2 linked regions of the Arabidopsis thaliana genome follow. The protein of the gene in region 1 interacts with the protein of each later gene in a pairwise test. Each region holds a gene or a part of one and is shown in the gene's direction. Other genes may lie near its edges. The genes, in order: AT3G61320 and DGK7.

Region 1 (7,609 bases):
CTTGAACCAGTTGACCAAATGCCTACAGGAGTCTGAACAATGTTCTGACTTTGCTGAGGAACAGGAGGTGACGTTGCTGCTGTGTTATCGTTGTTGTTTTCCAAAGCATCAGTATCTTGGACATCTTCAGAAGTTTCTTCACGTTTTTTAATCTTCCCTTTCGGAATTGCCCAAATGAAGCTGCCAACAATGACCTTTTAAGGAGGCAAACACACATAGTTAAGCATAAGAAATCTAAATTCATCTAAGGAATTTGATAACAAGCGTAAGCTCACCTGGACTTGGCTTGCTGCTATTAGAGGACCTCCAATTCCACCACCAATGACACGACCATCGGGGCTAGCAAGTGAGACCGCTAGACTTCCAGTGCGGTTTGGGTAGTCATTGTCAGTTGTGTTCAGATAAGAAGTTGAGAGAGATATGAGCTCGAATAGACCCTATAAGTTTCAAAGTATACACCAAAATAAGTAATGTTTTTGTCTTCTAAAAGATAATAAAATGTGAGTGATGATTCAATAAAACCTCGTATATAATAGTTCCATGAGAAGGTGCTGGCTGAAGAAGAGTTGCAGTAGAGACAGCACCACTTGCGGATAAGACACATATCGCTCGTGGACCTTGATGCGAGAACGATATAACCTTTGAAGCAATGTCCTGAAAGCAACACCGAGAGTATGGTTATCTCAAGAACTAGAGGCAAGATTACAAAGAAAAAAAAGAACAGATTTATTCAAGAGGAGACAGAAGAAACATACTTCACCAATGGAAACTACGATTACATGCGGTGTGAAGCTCATCCCAGTTGATGAAGGCATCATTTCACCTTACAAAAAAGAATCAAATGTCTTCAGAAAAATCACAGCTAATTGTAATCAGGGAGAAACAGAGCAATAACAAAGTTTAAGAGAAAGGCCAAGGAATAATAAAAGAATAAATATTGAATTCAACAATTTGACATTATAAAATTCCACAGCTTTAATTAATCCTTAACAGTTCGAATTAGCTTATAATAAACTTCCCACCAATGTCCTCATTTGAAAAACTATATCATCAATTAAGCTCAAAACTTCCCACCATATTCAGAGCCAATGTCCTTGTCGGAAAATAAAACTCATAAGTTAGAGATTAGGGATATTACCAATGGAAGATAGCCGTTGCTTCTTGCCGGAGCCAGGAGGTCTTCCACGGCCACGTTTGTTAGAGTTCGGGGAAACGTTGGAGATAGAAGGAGACAATGCCAACGAAACAGAACCACCATCTTGTCCATATTTTCTAGGCCGTCCTCTCTTCCGCTTCACAGACGTGTCACCTGAAGGAGGAGCAACCAAAGCTCCCGCCGCCGCCGCTGACGAATCAGCCGGAGAAGAGTCAACGGGTAAAGGAGGAGACACGAATCCAGTAGAGACACCTCCAGGGTTTGGATTTGGGTTTGGGTTTGACCCAAAAGGAGAGATGGAATTGGTGAAATGATGAAATCCTTGTGATCCGTGAAACGTTGGTTGAGTTTGAGGAGGAGGAGGACCAGAACCGGGGATTCCTCTTTGGATATAGTAAGAACCCGACCCGGATAACGCCATTGCGTCTCTTCGATCCATAGCTTAACCAAAAAGACTCTGACTTTAACTTAGTAAAATTCGATGGGGACCCTAAATGGCTAACTTATAGGAGGAGGGATAAGAAGAGAACAAAATCAGAATCTAAAAGGGTTCGATAGACTTCAAGAGCAAGATAACAACATGCAACCGAAAATCTCTGAAAACTTATCAAAACACACAAACTTTCATTTCACCTAATTGTTTTTTATGTAGCTTTAGTATCAAGCTATGAGAAAATCTCAAGATGAAATTAGATCCAAAAGAGAAAAGGAAAGAACTTTAATTTTCTTCATCTCTTCTTCTCTGTTTCATTCTCTCACCAAAAGCAAAGAAATGAAGTGTGAATAAGCTTTCTCATCCATCAATCAACAATGGTGAAGAAAAAAAAAAGTTTTCTAGGGTTCTCTCTCTTTCTTTCTTCAGAGTGTATGTGATGTTGCTTTTTTTCTTTTACTGGGTGACAGAGGGAAAACAGAAACAAACAAAAAAAGATCCTTTCTCCAAGCATTTACTGTGGATTACAATACAATGGGATGATGAGGCAGGATTTCAAAATTCGAAATTAAATTTGAAGTCTCTGACTTTTGACTGTGATATAAGCTCTCTCTCTATCTCTCTAATAGACTTCTTTCTAGCATCTAGCAATTTGTAGGAGGGATCCATCCATCCATCATCATCATCATCTTTGTGTGGCTCATTCTCAACGCTATAGATTAGGTGCGTGTATCAAACGAAGCATTGGGAATGAGAGAGTGAATCTCACGCTTCTGATGTCGAGAGTGAGAGAATAGTGATGTGATCTAGTCAAGACTTTCTTTGTTCCTCACTGGCTTCCACTTCATCATAAGCTTTCAAAATTTATGAATCCCCCAATCTATCTTTAGACTCTATTTTACCATAAATACTTGAGACTAATGATTATATATTGGCATTAAGAGACATATAACATGAATATAAATTCCCATTTTGTGGAGTAAATATTGTTCTTGTCTCTGTTCTGTTCACTTTAAATCTTCATTTTTCTCTACAAACAATAATCATTAGGACCCAAGAGTTTATCAACAATACAGAATCTGAACGTTTAGTACTCATGTCATGTGAAGTGAAGTGAAGAAGATCAACAAGAACATTAATTGTTTGCTATAATCTTCTATGGGCCGGATAGGAATAATTAGGCCCAGTATCTAACACATCAAACAAAAACACATCGAAGTCGAATCGTCGGTGGGATAATTAGGCCCAGTATATTCAAACAAAATAACATTTAACAGATCCAAGTCCAATGTTGTCGTGGAACGAACGTCGTTTAGAATAATTAAGCCCAGTATTTAACATATCAAAGCCCAATGTTGTCCTAAAACGACGACGTTTGAATGTGGAACGTAAACAATCCTGGAACAACCGTTTCAACTACCTTTTTCCTATCACTTGTTTTTTCACCTCTCGAAGTCCTCCGATTTGCTACCCTTACGCAGCCTCATGTGTCAACCACCATTTCTCTTCTTCATCTTCGTCTCTATCAAACCCTAAACCTAAAACCCCTTATTTTCCCGCCAATGTATCAATCCATGAATCTATCAGTTTCTTCCAATTTCACTCACCGATCACTCCTCGAATCACGATTTCCTATATTCTCCACCGGATTCCGCAAATCCGTCAATCTCAAACCTCCCCGTGTCTCATCTGGTCCTGAATCCAACGATTCAGGTCACGAAACCTTAACCGATAAGCTTATCCATCTCCTCAGAGCTGTTCCAGATTGGGCAGACGAGATTAAAGAGCGTGGGATGCAGCAGAAACGCTCTCTCTACACACACGAGAAATGGGTTGAACATAGAAGCTCTCTTCGCCATGTGCGTCATCTACTCTCGAGCTTTTCTTCACGAGTTATACTCTCCCTGATTCCACCTGTTTTCTTCTTCACAAGCGTCGCGGTTGTGATCGCTAGCTACAACTCCGCCGTGGCTTTGGATTGGCTTCCTGGTATTTTTCCAATTCTTCGATCCTCGTCGTTGCCGTATCAGCTCACAGCTCCGGCTTTGGCTCTTCTTCTGGTCTTTCGTACGGAGGCTTCGTATTCTAGGTATGAAGAAGGAAGGAAAGCTTGGGTTGGGATTATTGCTGGAACTAATGATTTAGCTAGGCAAGTTATTTGTTCCGTTGATAGCTCCGGTGATGAATTGATCATCAAAGATTTGCTTCTTCGTTACATTGCAGCTTTCCCTGTTGCTCTTAAGGTAAAAAATATTCATCTCTTGCTTGACTCTATTGTTGGTTTCTGATGCTTTAATTTCATTTGCAGTGTCATGTGATTTATGGTTCAGATATAGCAAGAGATCTCCGGAACTTGATAGAAGCAGATGACTTATCTCTGATTCTTCAAGCAAAGCATCGTCCGCGTTGTGTAATCGAGTTCATTTCTCAGAGCATTCAGTTGCTAAAACTAGACGATGCAAAGAGAGATTTGTTGGTAGCATTCTTGAATCCTTGAACTCTCTATTAAAATTCTTTGCTATGAACACTTGACACCAATATATGTTCTTTGCGTCATTGCAGGAATCAAAGATGCTGCATTTACATGAAGGAATTGGAGTTTGTGAACAACTCATGGGCATTCCGATTCCTCTCTCTTACACACGCTTAACCTCGAGGTTTTTAGTCTTTTGGCATCTAACTCTCCCAATCATTCTCTGGGATGAATGCCATTGGATTGTTGTTCCTGCTACTTTCATTAGTGCTGCCTCTCTGTTCTGCATAGAAGAAGTACTTTGTCCTCCTCCTCCTCCATACTTACCCTCTTTTGCTTGAATCCTTAACCATTAAACCTTCTTTTTGGATTGGAAACTCTGCAGGTGGGTGTTCTTATAGAAGAACCATTTCCTATGTTGGCCTTAGATGAGCTTTGCGATCTTGTGCATAGTAACATCCAAGAAGCTGTTAAATCTGAGAAAGTCATACGTAACCGCATCATTGCAAAGATAAAGCTCCATGAATTCAAGCACTCATCAAATGGTCGCCATAGATCTTGATTACCGGTTGGTGTGAGTGATGTAGGTTGTCTTCCCGAGGGAGCTAAGAACATGTGATGGCTTAGGTTAGCTTTGATATATACGTATCGTATGTTAGAGTAAAATTCTTTTAGAGGTAATGGAGAAAGTGTTTAAGTGTTTTGAGAGAGTTTTTTAGGAAATAGAACTTTTATTACTTTGCTTTAAACTTGAATACAACTTCACAACATTGCAACATTTGAGAGGGGGAGGAGGTATTTATAGCCTCCAAACTACAAAATATCTAAAATATTTTAATCCTAAGTCTAGAGAGTTCTTACATAAGATCTAGATTACATTATTCAAATTATCTAGATTATTCTATTAGAGTATCTAGATTTTTATGTTTAAGGAGGTGGAAGATGATTCTAGAAAATTTCTAGAATCTTTTAAGGAGGTGGAAATGATGATATTTCTAGAGAAAACTCTAGAACTTGGATTTGGCCATAATTAATTATTGGATAATTGATCCAATAATTAAACTTGATTCAAAATCAAGTTTAACTTTCAACACCCCCTCTTAAACTTGATTTTGCTACTCCAAGCAAACTCCTCATCTTGATAAAGTTTTCACGCTTGAGAGGCTTGGTAAAAAAATCGGCTACTTGATCATGTGTCTTCACATACTCCAATTGCACGTCCTTCTTGCTAACACACTCTCTAATGTAGTGATAGCGTGTGTCAATGTGTTTACTTCGATCATGGAAGACCGGGTTCTTCGCCAAAGCTATTGCCGACTTGTTGTCCACAAAGATCTTCGTTGGTTCCTCTTGTGGTAAGCTTAACTCCTTCAAGAGGTTTCTTAACCAAATAGCATGGCATACACATGACGTAGCCGCTACATACTCCGCTTCACAAGTGGATAGAGTGACAATTGGTTGTTTCTTCGACATCCATGTGAAAGCCGTGTCTCCAATGTAAAACACAAAACCACTTGTACTCTTTCGGTCATCTACGTCTCCACCCCAATCGCTATCGCTATATCCAACAAGCTTGTAATCACTAGTAGTTGAATAATGTAAGCCAAAGTTTACAGTACCTTTGATATAGCGAAGAATCCTTTTTGCCGCTTTGAAATGAGTTGTTGTTGGATGCTCCATGTAACGACTAACAACTCCGACCGCATATAAAATATCGGGCCTTGTGCATGTTAAGTATCTCAAGCTTCCAACCAAGCTCTTAAAGGTTGTTGGATCCACTCCTTCCCCTTCTTCTTTCTTTGATAGTTTGATTCCGCATTCCATTGGTGTACAAACGGGATTTGAGTCATCTATCTTGAACTTCTTAAGTACCTCCTTAGCATAGCCTTCTTGAGTTATGAATATTCCATTGTCTTCTTGTTTTACTTCAATTCCGAGATAGTAAGACATCAATCCAATGTCCGTCATCTCGAACTCCTTCGTCATCTCTTTCTTGAATTCTTCGAATATGCTTGGATTGTTACCCGTGAATATCAAGTCATCTACATATAAGCATGCGATCAATATATCTTCTTTTTGAATTTTGATATAGAGTGCATGCTCATATGGACACTTGATGAAATCTTTCTCCTTGAAATACTTGTCAATTCGAGTATTCCAAGCTCTTGGGGCTTGTTTTAATCCATAAAGCACCTTTTTTAGCCTCAAGACTTTGTCTTCTTCACCTTTGACTATGTAGCCTTGTGGTTGCTCAATGTAAACTTCTTCTTCAAGATCTCCATTTAAGAAGGCCGACTTGACATCCATTTGATGTATCTTCCACTTGTTTTGAGCCGCTAGTGAGATGATTAGTCTAACCGTTTCTAGACGAGCAACGGGAGCAAATACCTCGTCATAGTCAATTCCGACTCTTTGACTATAACCTTTTGCAACCAATCTTGCTTTGTATCTTTCCACTTCTCCTTTAGAGTTTTTCTTTGCTTTATACACCCACTTCACGCCAATTGCCTTGTGTCCATTTGGAAGTGAAGTTAACTCCCATGTGTCATTCTTTTGTATTGATTTGATCTCTTCATCCATGGCATTTCTCCAAGTCTTCTTTTCAATGGCTTTTTGGAAATCCATGGGTTCGCACTCCGCAAATAAACAAAATAAGGTAAGGTTTTCTTGATTTTCGGTTACCTCATAGAGCTCTTGTATACTTCTAAAACGCGGAGTCCTTTCACTCGAACTTTCTTCTATTTGAGAACTTGTTGGTGAAGTTGGTGGTGTAGTAGGCTCTTCACTTGGTGGCTCCTCTCTTGTTGGCTCCGGCTCATCTTCTTCAAAATGTGGAAAGAAGTTATAATCTTCTTCATTTGAGTTCCAATCCCATTCTCCTTCTTCATCGAACACTATATTTCGACTAATAATTGTCTTCTTCGTATCGGGATTATAGAGCTTGTAGCCTTTGGAGTTGTTATCATAACCAATGAAGATATACTTCTCACTTTTGTCATCTAGTTTGCTCCGCTTCTCATCCGGTACATGAGCATGAGCAATACTTCCAAAGACTCTTAAATGAGAAACACCGGGCTTTCTTCCGCTCCAAGCTTCTTGTGGTGTTTTTCCGGAGACACTTTTTGTTGGAGATCGATTTAATAGATAAACCGCACACGCGACCGCTTCCGCCCACAACTCTTTTGGTAGTCTCTTACTTTTGAGCATGCTCCTTGCCATCTCAAGAATTGTTCTATTCTTTCTTTCCACTACACCATTTTGTTGAGGGGATCTTGGCACCGTTAATTGTCTTCGAATGCCGTTGTCTTCACAATACTTAAGAAACTCCTTGGATGTAAATTCTCCTCCACGGTCGGATCTCATGGTTTTGATCACAAGACCACTCTCCTTCTCAACATGGGCTTTAAACTTTTTGAAAATTTCGAACACCTCGGATTTTTCTTTCAAAAAATATACCCATGTTTTTCTTGAAAAATCATCAATAAAGAGAAGGAAGTAATTACTTTTACCAAGTGATTTCGGCTTGATCGGACCACACACATCGGTG
Region 2 (8,892 bases), on another chromosome or scaffold:
CTTTTCTCTGTTATACTCTTCTCTTGTCCAATTCCACACCTCTTCTTTCTACTTTCGAATATACAGTTTCATTTAATTATTAAATAGTACTACCATAGTCATGATTTAGAAAAATACTTAATCATCTTGCAGTTCAAAAATAATACTAAATGTTTGCACTAACATTATCACTTACCTTAGACGAGTCATTTAGCTTTGTAATTTACATTTGTCGAATTAGATGAAATTTGTAGCACCAGTTACTTATTTTATTTTATGGTGTCTCTGATAAACTTTACATGTGTATATATCCAATCATATACAAACATTTGAAAACAACTAGTATATGAATGAGAGTTCTTCTGATTGTGTTCTCCAAACGCTTGGTTTGGTTATATCATAATATCCAATAAAAGAACATTCATCCTCAAGAAGCCAAAATTGCTCTAACCAATAGATGTCCAATCTTTGATCAAGATCATGCCAAATAACTCACTCTTGCTTTGAAGAGTGAACGCATCTGTGACTTGGAACTTATTGTTATTAAAATCCCACACATTAATTTTTCTTTTATGTACATGAGACAGTATATAAGATTAACTCAACTAACCTCGCTAGGTTAGCATAAATGAATGAGGAATTTACGAATAACCGTCATCTTCGTATTCAGATTTGGACTATATTCGATTGACCTATTGTTTTACATTGCAAACCGAATAATATGTACATGTGATCGGGTCTTTGGGTTCTCGGATCCAAAATAATGGTCTCCGAGAAAATGGAAATTGTCGTGTAGCTAGAGAAAGGTGAAAAATAGAAAAAAGCTGACGCAAAGAAGAGAATAGTTTTATTGTGAAGACCGATAAACAAAAAAAAGTGCTGGTTTAAAAAGATGTTAAAGAGTTTCAGCTTTCTGCATTTATTATAACTTCACGTACAACTCTTGTCGACCTTCTGTGTCTTTTAATGCCTATCATTTCTATTTACCATTTTGCCCTATATTTCTGTCTTTTGATAAGCAGAAAGTGAGCAAAAAATTTTGTAATATTTGAAAATAATTGAATAAATAAACAGAGTATAATTTTCTTTTCTTTTGACAGCAATACTAAAATATTTTATAGTGCTTACATATTAGTAAATAATATAATACTCAGATGTTTATGTATAAGTTTTCAATCTATAAATTTGTTCCGAATATAACATAAATTTTCATTTCATTTTATAAACAGAAATTAAAAGTTTGTCCTAGTTAACTATCTTATGCCATAGAATTTTGTGAACATAATTAGAGTGAGACAAACCGTAAAACTGATCACTCCAAACCGTTTCAAATAACTAAAAGCATAATTAAAACCAATAGTTTTTTTTCATATTCAAATTAAGTGTTGGTGTTTTACTAACTAATCATTAAGAAAATGGTAGTGTAGAAAAAAAAACAGCTAAGTACTTTTAAAGTCATCAAAAAGAAACTTGAGTTTTTTAAACTTCGCAAAACATTCTGTAGACGACTTTGTAATATTTTGCTAACAAAACAGCTAACATTTTTTTTCTAAGTTTATTAAATCTGTTGAATGTTTGAGTCATTTTCTTTTCTTTTACCATAATATTGTAGGCCAATAAAAGATGAGAGGTACCGACTAGTTGTGCAATCAATGCATTCATCATGAAAAAGTTGAATTCTCTTTGACGCGTTAGGGACTCCCCGAAAAGGTCTACCTTTTCCATTTTAAAGGAGCACAAATTTTTTAATGCGATTTCTAATTTCATAAGGTATATGATCATGTGAAGATGAAAAAAGCCTTCCTCAAAGGCTACTTATTAATTTGTGCAGAGAGACTATCATATGTATAGATTAGATAGCACAATTTAGTTCTTCCAAAGTCATCAAAAATAAACTTATGTAAGTTGACGTAAATAATACAACGATGATCATATTTCAATATTTCATATAAAAGGGCCTCTCGCTGTGGAAAAATATTTGATGCTTCAATGATCAGAGGCAAATCAAAATCTGTAATGAAGGATTTATTATAAAACTAAAACTATAATTTGTCATTAAGCTACAAAACCCATTCTTAAATCTCAACTAAACCCATTAAGTTCATTATTGGTAGGGCCGAATCACATTGATGGCTCGCTTTTCTTTCTTATGATAAATACAAATTCTTAGGTGTACTTTGAGTGATTCAAGTGTCACATGATGCCACACTTATTTCTTTCAAAACATCCTTAATTACAAACAATTTTATTTTATGATCAATAAATTTTAATGATATTCAGTCACAATAATCTTTGAAATTACATATATTCAAACTTGGTTATATGCATCCATGCATAATTGAATATTAGTATCATTTGAGTTCACGACTTTAATACCATCACTTCCAAACAGAGCGGCCCAACTCGAATCCATAAACCAACACACACAAAATAGACACAAATTGAGTCTATGGATTAAATGTCAACACTGATCCACTATAGTCTATATTTTTATAATTTTTATGGAAGAGTTTAGTCGAACTTCAGTGCGAAAGAAAGAAGGCTAAGCAACCTTAACAACTCACTTAAGATTTAGCCGTGAAACTAAAATTTGGCTAAGCCTCAAACCTGAATTACCCTTGTTTGGGTTCATATGCCGACTCATTACGTCCCACCGCTACTTCCAAAGGCACGAGTCCATGTGGGTCATAAAATGACGTGTACTTGTTTTTTTCTTACAGAGATGAAGAACTTAACTGATTTGATTCCGTTCAGAAACAACGGATTGAAAACATGTTGATTCCGATTCGTATAATGTCTAGATTCCTTTTCTTTAACTCGTAAATCCTTTCTTGGACGCGGTTTCGAGACTTTGACGTTGATAAAATGTGAATATGTGTACATGTCCACCTTTGCCTCTTACGTTGACGGTCGACAACTTTTTGCAAGTCTTCCAATTTCTTTCCATTTATGCAATTTTTCCCCTCAACCTATTTATATCTTCACTATATGCTAATCTACTCATTTTAAATACTTTTCATTAAAGATCAAATTTAAGATTAATCTGAAAGGTACCAAATTTTATTTATGATTGGAAAACGATGCCTAACCAATAACAAAAATGACTTTCATTAGCATTTTGATTTATTAAAATCCTGAAAATAATTAAGTTGGTCCTAGACACAAAACTAAAATATATCATTCCACCAACATCATCATCATATAATAGAAGTTTATAAATGTTTTATTTGAATTTTAGTTCAAGTTACTTGGTTTTAGAAAATGCGTAACCAATATAAAGACGGCTATAGTATGAAGCGATGTTGATGCGGAATTGATCTTTAGTTAAACAGCTCTTAACTTTTACAAGAATTTAAGTTATATCTCAATTAAAATTTGGTTTCGACAACCCCTGAATCGTTTGTTTGTTGTGGAACGAAAGGTTTGTGTGAATTGCTTTAGGCAGGTTACAGAGGAATTAACATATAATTCAGGTTTTTTTTATCTATTTAAACAGTTGAACAGTTTTAAGTTTTAACCATACATGAATATATTTTTATCTTGATTATTCAGTTACATTTGGATTGAATAGAGTCGGTTAATCCAAATTAGTCACCTTTTCATAAGATTGTTTATATTGAAGAACTAACTAACGTATGAGAATCAATGTTTAGACAGACTTGAGAGCATTTGTGAAAAATTTAGGTCCCCTGTATACCCATAAAACCCATAGGCTATAATGGGCTTAAAAATACAAGATAATTGTTGTATGGATCCTAAAATTCACCACCTCGGCCCATACGTGAGTTATGTAAATGAAAGTTGAAATAAAATAGTTATGTAACGCACCGGTTATTTAGGATGCAATAAATATATAGGCATATCTCCCTAACCAGAAAAGAAAAATGAATATTGGACAGCTTCACGATCTAATAACACACCACACCCAGTAGGGCAATATAGTCATAAATATGCGGCCCATATGTCACATCCTGACACAGTCCACTGCCTCATTTAATTGTCCCTTTTACCCTTTTTACAATCTTAACGTGACAAGTAAAGCATTTAATAGTCTCTCTTTCTGTAAACTTACATAGTTTTGCATTTACAAGTCAAATATCAAAATATGCAGGTATTATTAGGGGTTTTAATTAGGGTAACAAGTAAAAAAAACTTTAAATTTGTAGTCTTACGATAGAAAAAAAACTTCCTTCTCATTCGCCTTAAAAGATGGTCACATATAAATCAACGAGATTTAAAAGTAGTGGCAATTCTGTAAATTCGTAATACTAGTAAGGGCATTTTCATGTCGTTTTTTTAAAAAGTTGCAAAATCTACACGTTTAAATACGCACATCGAAGTACACCGATTTTGATTTGCTCTGTCTTCGAAAACTAATCTTAAAAAACAAAACACAGAACTGTCAATTTATTAGTCTTATTGAATTGTCTTCAAAGTTCGATCATTTTTTTACGTTTTATTTTAATTTGTTTCTCCAAGAATCTGATAATGGAGGAGACGCCGAGATCAGTCGGCGAAGCATCGACGACTAATTTCGTGGCGGCGAGACCGTCGGCGAAGACCGATGATGCAGTGACGATGAGAGGTTGTGGTTTTGCTAATCTTGCCTTGGTTGGTATAGACAAAGAAGAGCTTCGAGGGAGACTAGCGATGCCTGAGTATCTTCGTATAGCTATGAGAGATTGTATCAAGAGGAAAGATTCAACAGAGATTTCTGATCATTTGTTACTTCCTGGAGGCGCCGCCGCTGATATGGCTCCTCACGCGCCAATGGTTGTGTTTATTAACCCGAAAAGTGGTGGTCGTCATGGTCCTGTTCTTAAAGAGAGGCTTCAACAATTGATGACTGAAGAACAGGTCTGTTTTTTAAAAAACAAAAACTTTTTTTTTGTTTGCAACTTATGAAATGAGCTCACTTTACTTAACTTTTGAAATGAACTTGAGATCATATTTTTGTTTGAAGAAGATTTTAAATCTTGATTTGGGAGTTTACTTTCTTTTTGACTTCACTAGATTTGTGGTTAGATTGTGAATGGAAACACTCTGTTTTGGTTTAATGAGTATAACTATGAGCCTATGGCATTCTTATTGTTCTGACATCATCAAATGTTCTGTTTTTTTTTTCTCTGTAATTTTGTTTAGAAGAAGTTATAAACTGTTTTGTCTTAAAAAGACTGTGATTCCTCCTTAGTTAGTGAGCTCATGTTAATATTTGCAATGACAGGTATTTGATCTCACAGAAGTGAAGCCTCATGAATTTGTACGGTACGGTTTGGGGTGCTTGGACACATTGGCTGCTAAAGGAGATGAATGTGCAAGAGAATGCAGAGAAAAGATACGGATCATGGTGAGTATCTATTTCCAAAGTATTAGTTAGCAATTGGAATTAGATTTGCTAAGTTAGCGGCGATGATTGATGATAGGTAGCAGGCGGTGATGGTACCGTTGGTTGGGTTCTTGGATGTCTCGGTGAGCTTCATAAAGATGGTAAATCACATATTCCTCCTGTTGGAGTTATACCTCTTGGTACAGGAAATGACCTCTCCAGGAGTTTTAGTTGGGGTGGTTCATTCCCTTTTGCTTGGAGATCTGCTATGAAAAGAACATTACATCGAGCAACTTTAGGTTCCATTGCTCGATTAGATAGCTGGAAGATTGTAGTGTCGATGCCATCTGGAGAAGTCGTTGATCCTCCTTATTCTTTGAAGCCTACAATAGAGGAAACTGCACTTGATCAGGCTTTGGATGCTGATGGAGATGTACCTCCTAAAGCAAAGTCTTATGAAGGAGTGTTCTACAACTACTTCAGCATAGGTTTGGAATTTGGATACATGAAGTAACTTTATCTTTCATTGTTCTTAATAAATTTCTACAAAGTTAAACCTTTTGAAGTAATTTGGTATTTTCTTGTGTTGTTTAGGTATGGATGCTCAAGTTGCATATGGGTTCCACCATCTTCGCAATGAGAAACCGTATCTAGCTCAAGGCCCTGTTACAAATAAGGTTGCTATATATCAGAATCTTCATTCTTGTCTAAGTTTCATTAATTAGCTGTTTTTTTGGTTTGTAATGAGATTATGAATCACACTCGTTTCGGTTTTGCAGATTATCTATTCGAGTTACAGTTGTACTCAAGGTTGGTTTTGCACGCCTTGTGTCAACAATCCAGCTTTAAGGTTAGCATTTTCTGTGAAGAGAGTAAACCAAAAGCCTTTTCTTTACTCAATTCCTGTCTCTTGTTGTGTTGACATGTTGTGGTAAGATGAATTTGCAGGGGACTAAGAAACATTATGAAAATCCATATTAAAAAGGCAAATTGTTCCGAGTGGGAAGAGATCCATGTTCCTAAGAGGTTCATATAAAACTAATCTTATCTTTGATTAAAACTAAAAAAATGGCTTCACTTATAATCTCTCTGGTTTTGTTTTGGTGTAGCGTAAGATCTATTGTGGTGTTGAATCTTTATAACTATGGAAGTGGAAGACATCCATGGGGTAATCTCAGACCAAAATATTTAGAGAAGGTAATAATGTTTTATTCAGTACACTAATCTTAGGTTTTATTGCTTTCTCTACAAGCTTTAACAGAACGTGTTCGGGTTTTATAACAGAGAGGATTTGTGGAGGCGCATTGTGATGACGGACTGATAGAGATCTTCGGTTTAAAGCAAGGTTGGCATGCGTCATTTGTAATGGCTGAAATTATCTCAGCTAAGCACATTGCTCAGGTACAACAAAATACATCCAAAGTTTCTTTATAAGAATCGGTTTAACCTCGGTTTGATATTAAACCGTTTATCGTTTTAGGCGGCTGCGATTAGATTTGAACTAAGAGGAGGTGATTGGAAAAATGCATTCTTGCAAATGGATGGTGAACCATGGAAACAACCGATGAAGAGTGATTATTCGACTTTTGTAGAGATAAAAAAGGTTCCTTTTCAATCGTTAATGATCAATGGCGAATGATCGAGGAAACTCTTTTCAAGAAGTTGTAAAAGGATTAAAAAAGCATGATTCTTTATGTATTTCTGTTCCATCAATTAGTCAAAATAGTGATCTATGTTGAGCTTTTGCTACGGCTGTTGTTGTGCTAGTGAAGCATTTAACTTTGTGTATTTTATCAAAAAAAGATGGTTATTTATTCAATAGTCATTAATATACAATTAAGATATAAGCAATCATCTTCAGGTAGACCTTGAAATCTTGTAAACATGATTTTGCTGTCTTTAAACTCTGTTTCTTAAGTCGTTTTTCAGTGTTTTGGAGATAGTAGTAATGGGTCTAAAAAGTTAAATAATGTTTTTGTGGGGAGAAAAATGAAAATAGCAGATTTTCGAGGATGGGAAGAGTAAAACATATATTTGAGAAGTCGAAAAGTGTGAAATATTTGTTCTGTCTCGCGAGGAAGAGAGAAAAATCGAATTAGAAATTGCAAGTTTTAGGGTTTTAGAAAATCTATCTTCTTCACTGAGTTTTCCAGCTCCGAAGAACACTTGCAACTTCAGGCAATTATGGCGAGCACCAAAGTTCAGAGGATTATGACTCAACCCATTGTACATTCCTCGATTTCTGTTTACTAATTCGATCTTTTTTTTTTTTTATTGTTTCTGTTTAGCTCACTGTTCTTCTTACTTTTGATTTCAGAATCTGATTTTCAGATTTCTCCAAAGTGTAAGTTTTTCGATTACTCTGTTAATTTTCGTCACTTTTACTCTATTTGGGAACACCATTGAGTTTGTGAGAGGTGTGTACTTATATATATAGTGTGGTTCTTCTTATAATGTAGAAAGCTCGGATTCAGATTTGGCTTTTTGAGCAGAAAGATTTGAGGATTGAGGGACGAATTACTGTAAGTCATAATCCTGTTTCGAGCTTAGCACAAAATTTTGAACTTTCTTGCTTTGTTGATAGGTTAAACTAGAAAATTTGACATGCTTGTGTTAGTTAAGCTGTGTGATTCTAGCTACACTTTTAAAGTGAAGTGTAACATCTTGGAATTTTTCATAATGCTGTTTCTATTTGTTGTTCGAATTTTGATTGCTACGCTGATTTAGTTACCGTTGAGTTTATATACATTGTTTGATAGTAAGGGACCAATTGATAGCAATGAGTTCGGTTATTTCGGTTGGTGCGTATTATCTAGATTTAAGACTGAGATTGTATTGCTAGAATTTCTTTCTTGAGATAATAACAGAGTTTGTTCTTTTCTGTGAAGCTTAAGATTTATCAATGTCTTGGTTGTCTTAGATCTTTAACCACGAGTTGTTTAGTTGACGTTGAGTGTTTCATTGTTTCGTTATTTTAACATTTGCATTGTGCAGGGTTTTGATGAGTACATGAATTTGGTGCTGGATGAGGCAGAGGAAGTGAGCATCAAGAAGAAAACCAGAAAACCACTTGGTGAGTTACTTGCTACTCTCCTACAAGACTCCTTTCACATTTCTTATATTGGTTTTGTTTTTGGTGCTAACTCTCGCAAATACTGGATTTTCAGGTCGGATTTTGCTTAAAGGAGACAACATAACTCTCATGATGAACGCGTAAGTATCATTATTATCCTCTTCAGATCCTTTCTTTCCCATATCTCTCAATTCGTCTCTCCATGAATGTTGAGATACAAACTCAATCCCTTATATATCTTATTACAGGGGCAAGTGATGTCTGTTGCAGTGCAAGGAATGATCTAATTATATGGAATGGTTTAAGAGTTCCTGCTCCCCTCTCGTTTCTCTGTTGGGTAAAAGTTGTCTTTTTGCTGTTTACTTCTGTCAACTTGAGAAATTTCAACTTTGCAAACAAAATTATGAGAAAATAGTTTCATCAAAAAAGACCTCAAATCCAAGAAGATTGTAGAAATGTCTAATATTTGTCTATTTGGTTAGATTACGATCCAAAATCTGATATTAATATGATT

Evidence for each region.
Region 2: the proteins of AT3G61320 (region 1) and DGK7 interact in a protein complementation assay, tested with the Arabidopsis thaliana proteins (one large-scale study listed by BioGRID).

The regions. Positions count from the first base shown.
Region 1 is NC_003074.8:22,690,851-22,698,459, forward strand, and holds AT3G61320 (Bestrophin-like protein), read left to right. Parts: upstream 1-2,957; 5' UTR 2,958-2,968; coding exon 2,969-3,832; intron 3,833-3,897; coding exon 3,898-4,065; coding exon of another isoform or gene 4,066-4,086; exon of another isoform or gene 4,087-4,151; coding exon 4,152-4,358; coding exon of another isoform or gene 4,359-4,403; exon of another isoform or gene 4,404-4,447; coding exon 4,448-4,624; 3' UTR 4,625-4,904; downstream 4,905-7,609. Other genes in the region: AT3G61310 (AT hook motif DNA-binding family protein), read right to left, coding at 1-194, 276-437, 523-654, 756-823, 1,139-1,595. UniProt on the Arabidopsis thaliana protein: Voltage-dependent chloride (Cl) channel critical for proton motive force (PMF) partitioning across the thylakoid membrane by anion influx into the lumen during illumination, thus being required for photoprotection under fluctuating light conditions.
Region 2 is NC_003075.7:14,836,517-14,845,408, reverse strand, and holds DGK7 (diacylglycerol kinase 7), read left to right. Parts: upstream 1-4,261; 5' UTR 4,262-4,467; coding exon 4,468-4,836; intron 4,837-5,203; coding exon 5,204-5,326; intron 5,327-5,402; coding exon 5,403-5,793; intron 5,794-5,899; coding exon 5,900-5,982; intron 5,983-6,084; coding exon 6,085-6,155; intron 6,156-6,253; coding exon 6,254-6,331; coding exon of another isoform or gene 6,332-6,341; exon of another isoform or gene 6,342-6,414; coding exon 6,415-6,502; intron 6,503-6,589; coding exon 6,590-6,706; intron 6,707-6,785; coding exon 6,786-6,944; 3' UTR 6,945-7,237; downstream 7,238-8,892. Other genes in the region: AT4G30330 (Small nuclear ribonucleoprotein family protein), read left to right, coding at 7,490-7,531, 7,623-7,649, 7,765-7,827, 8,300-8,378, 8,473-8,518, 8,627-8,636.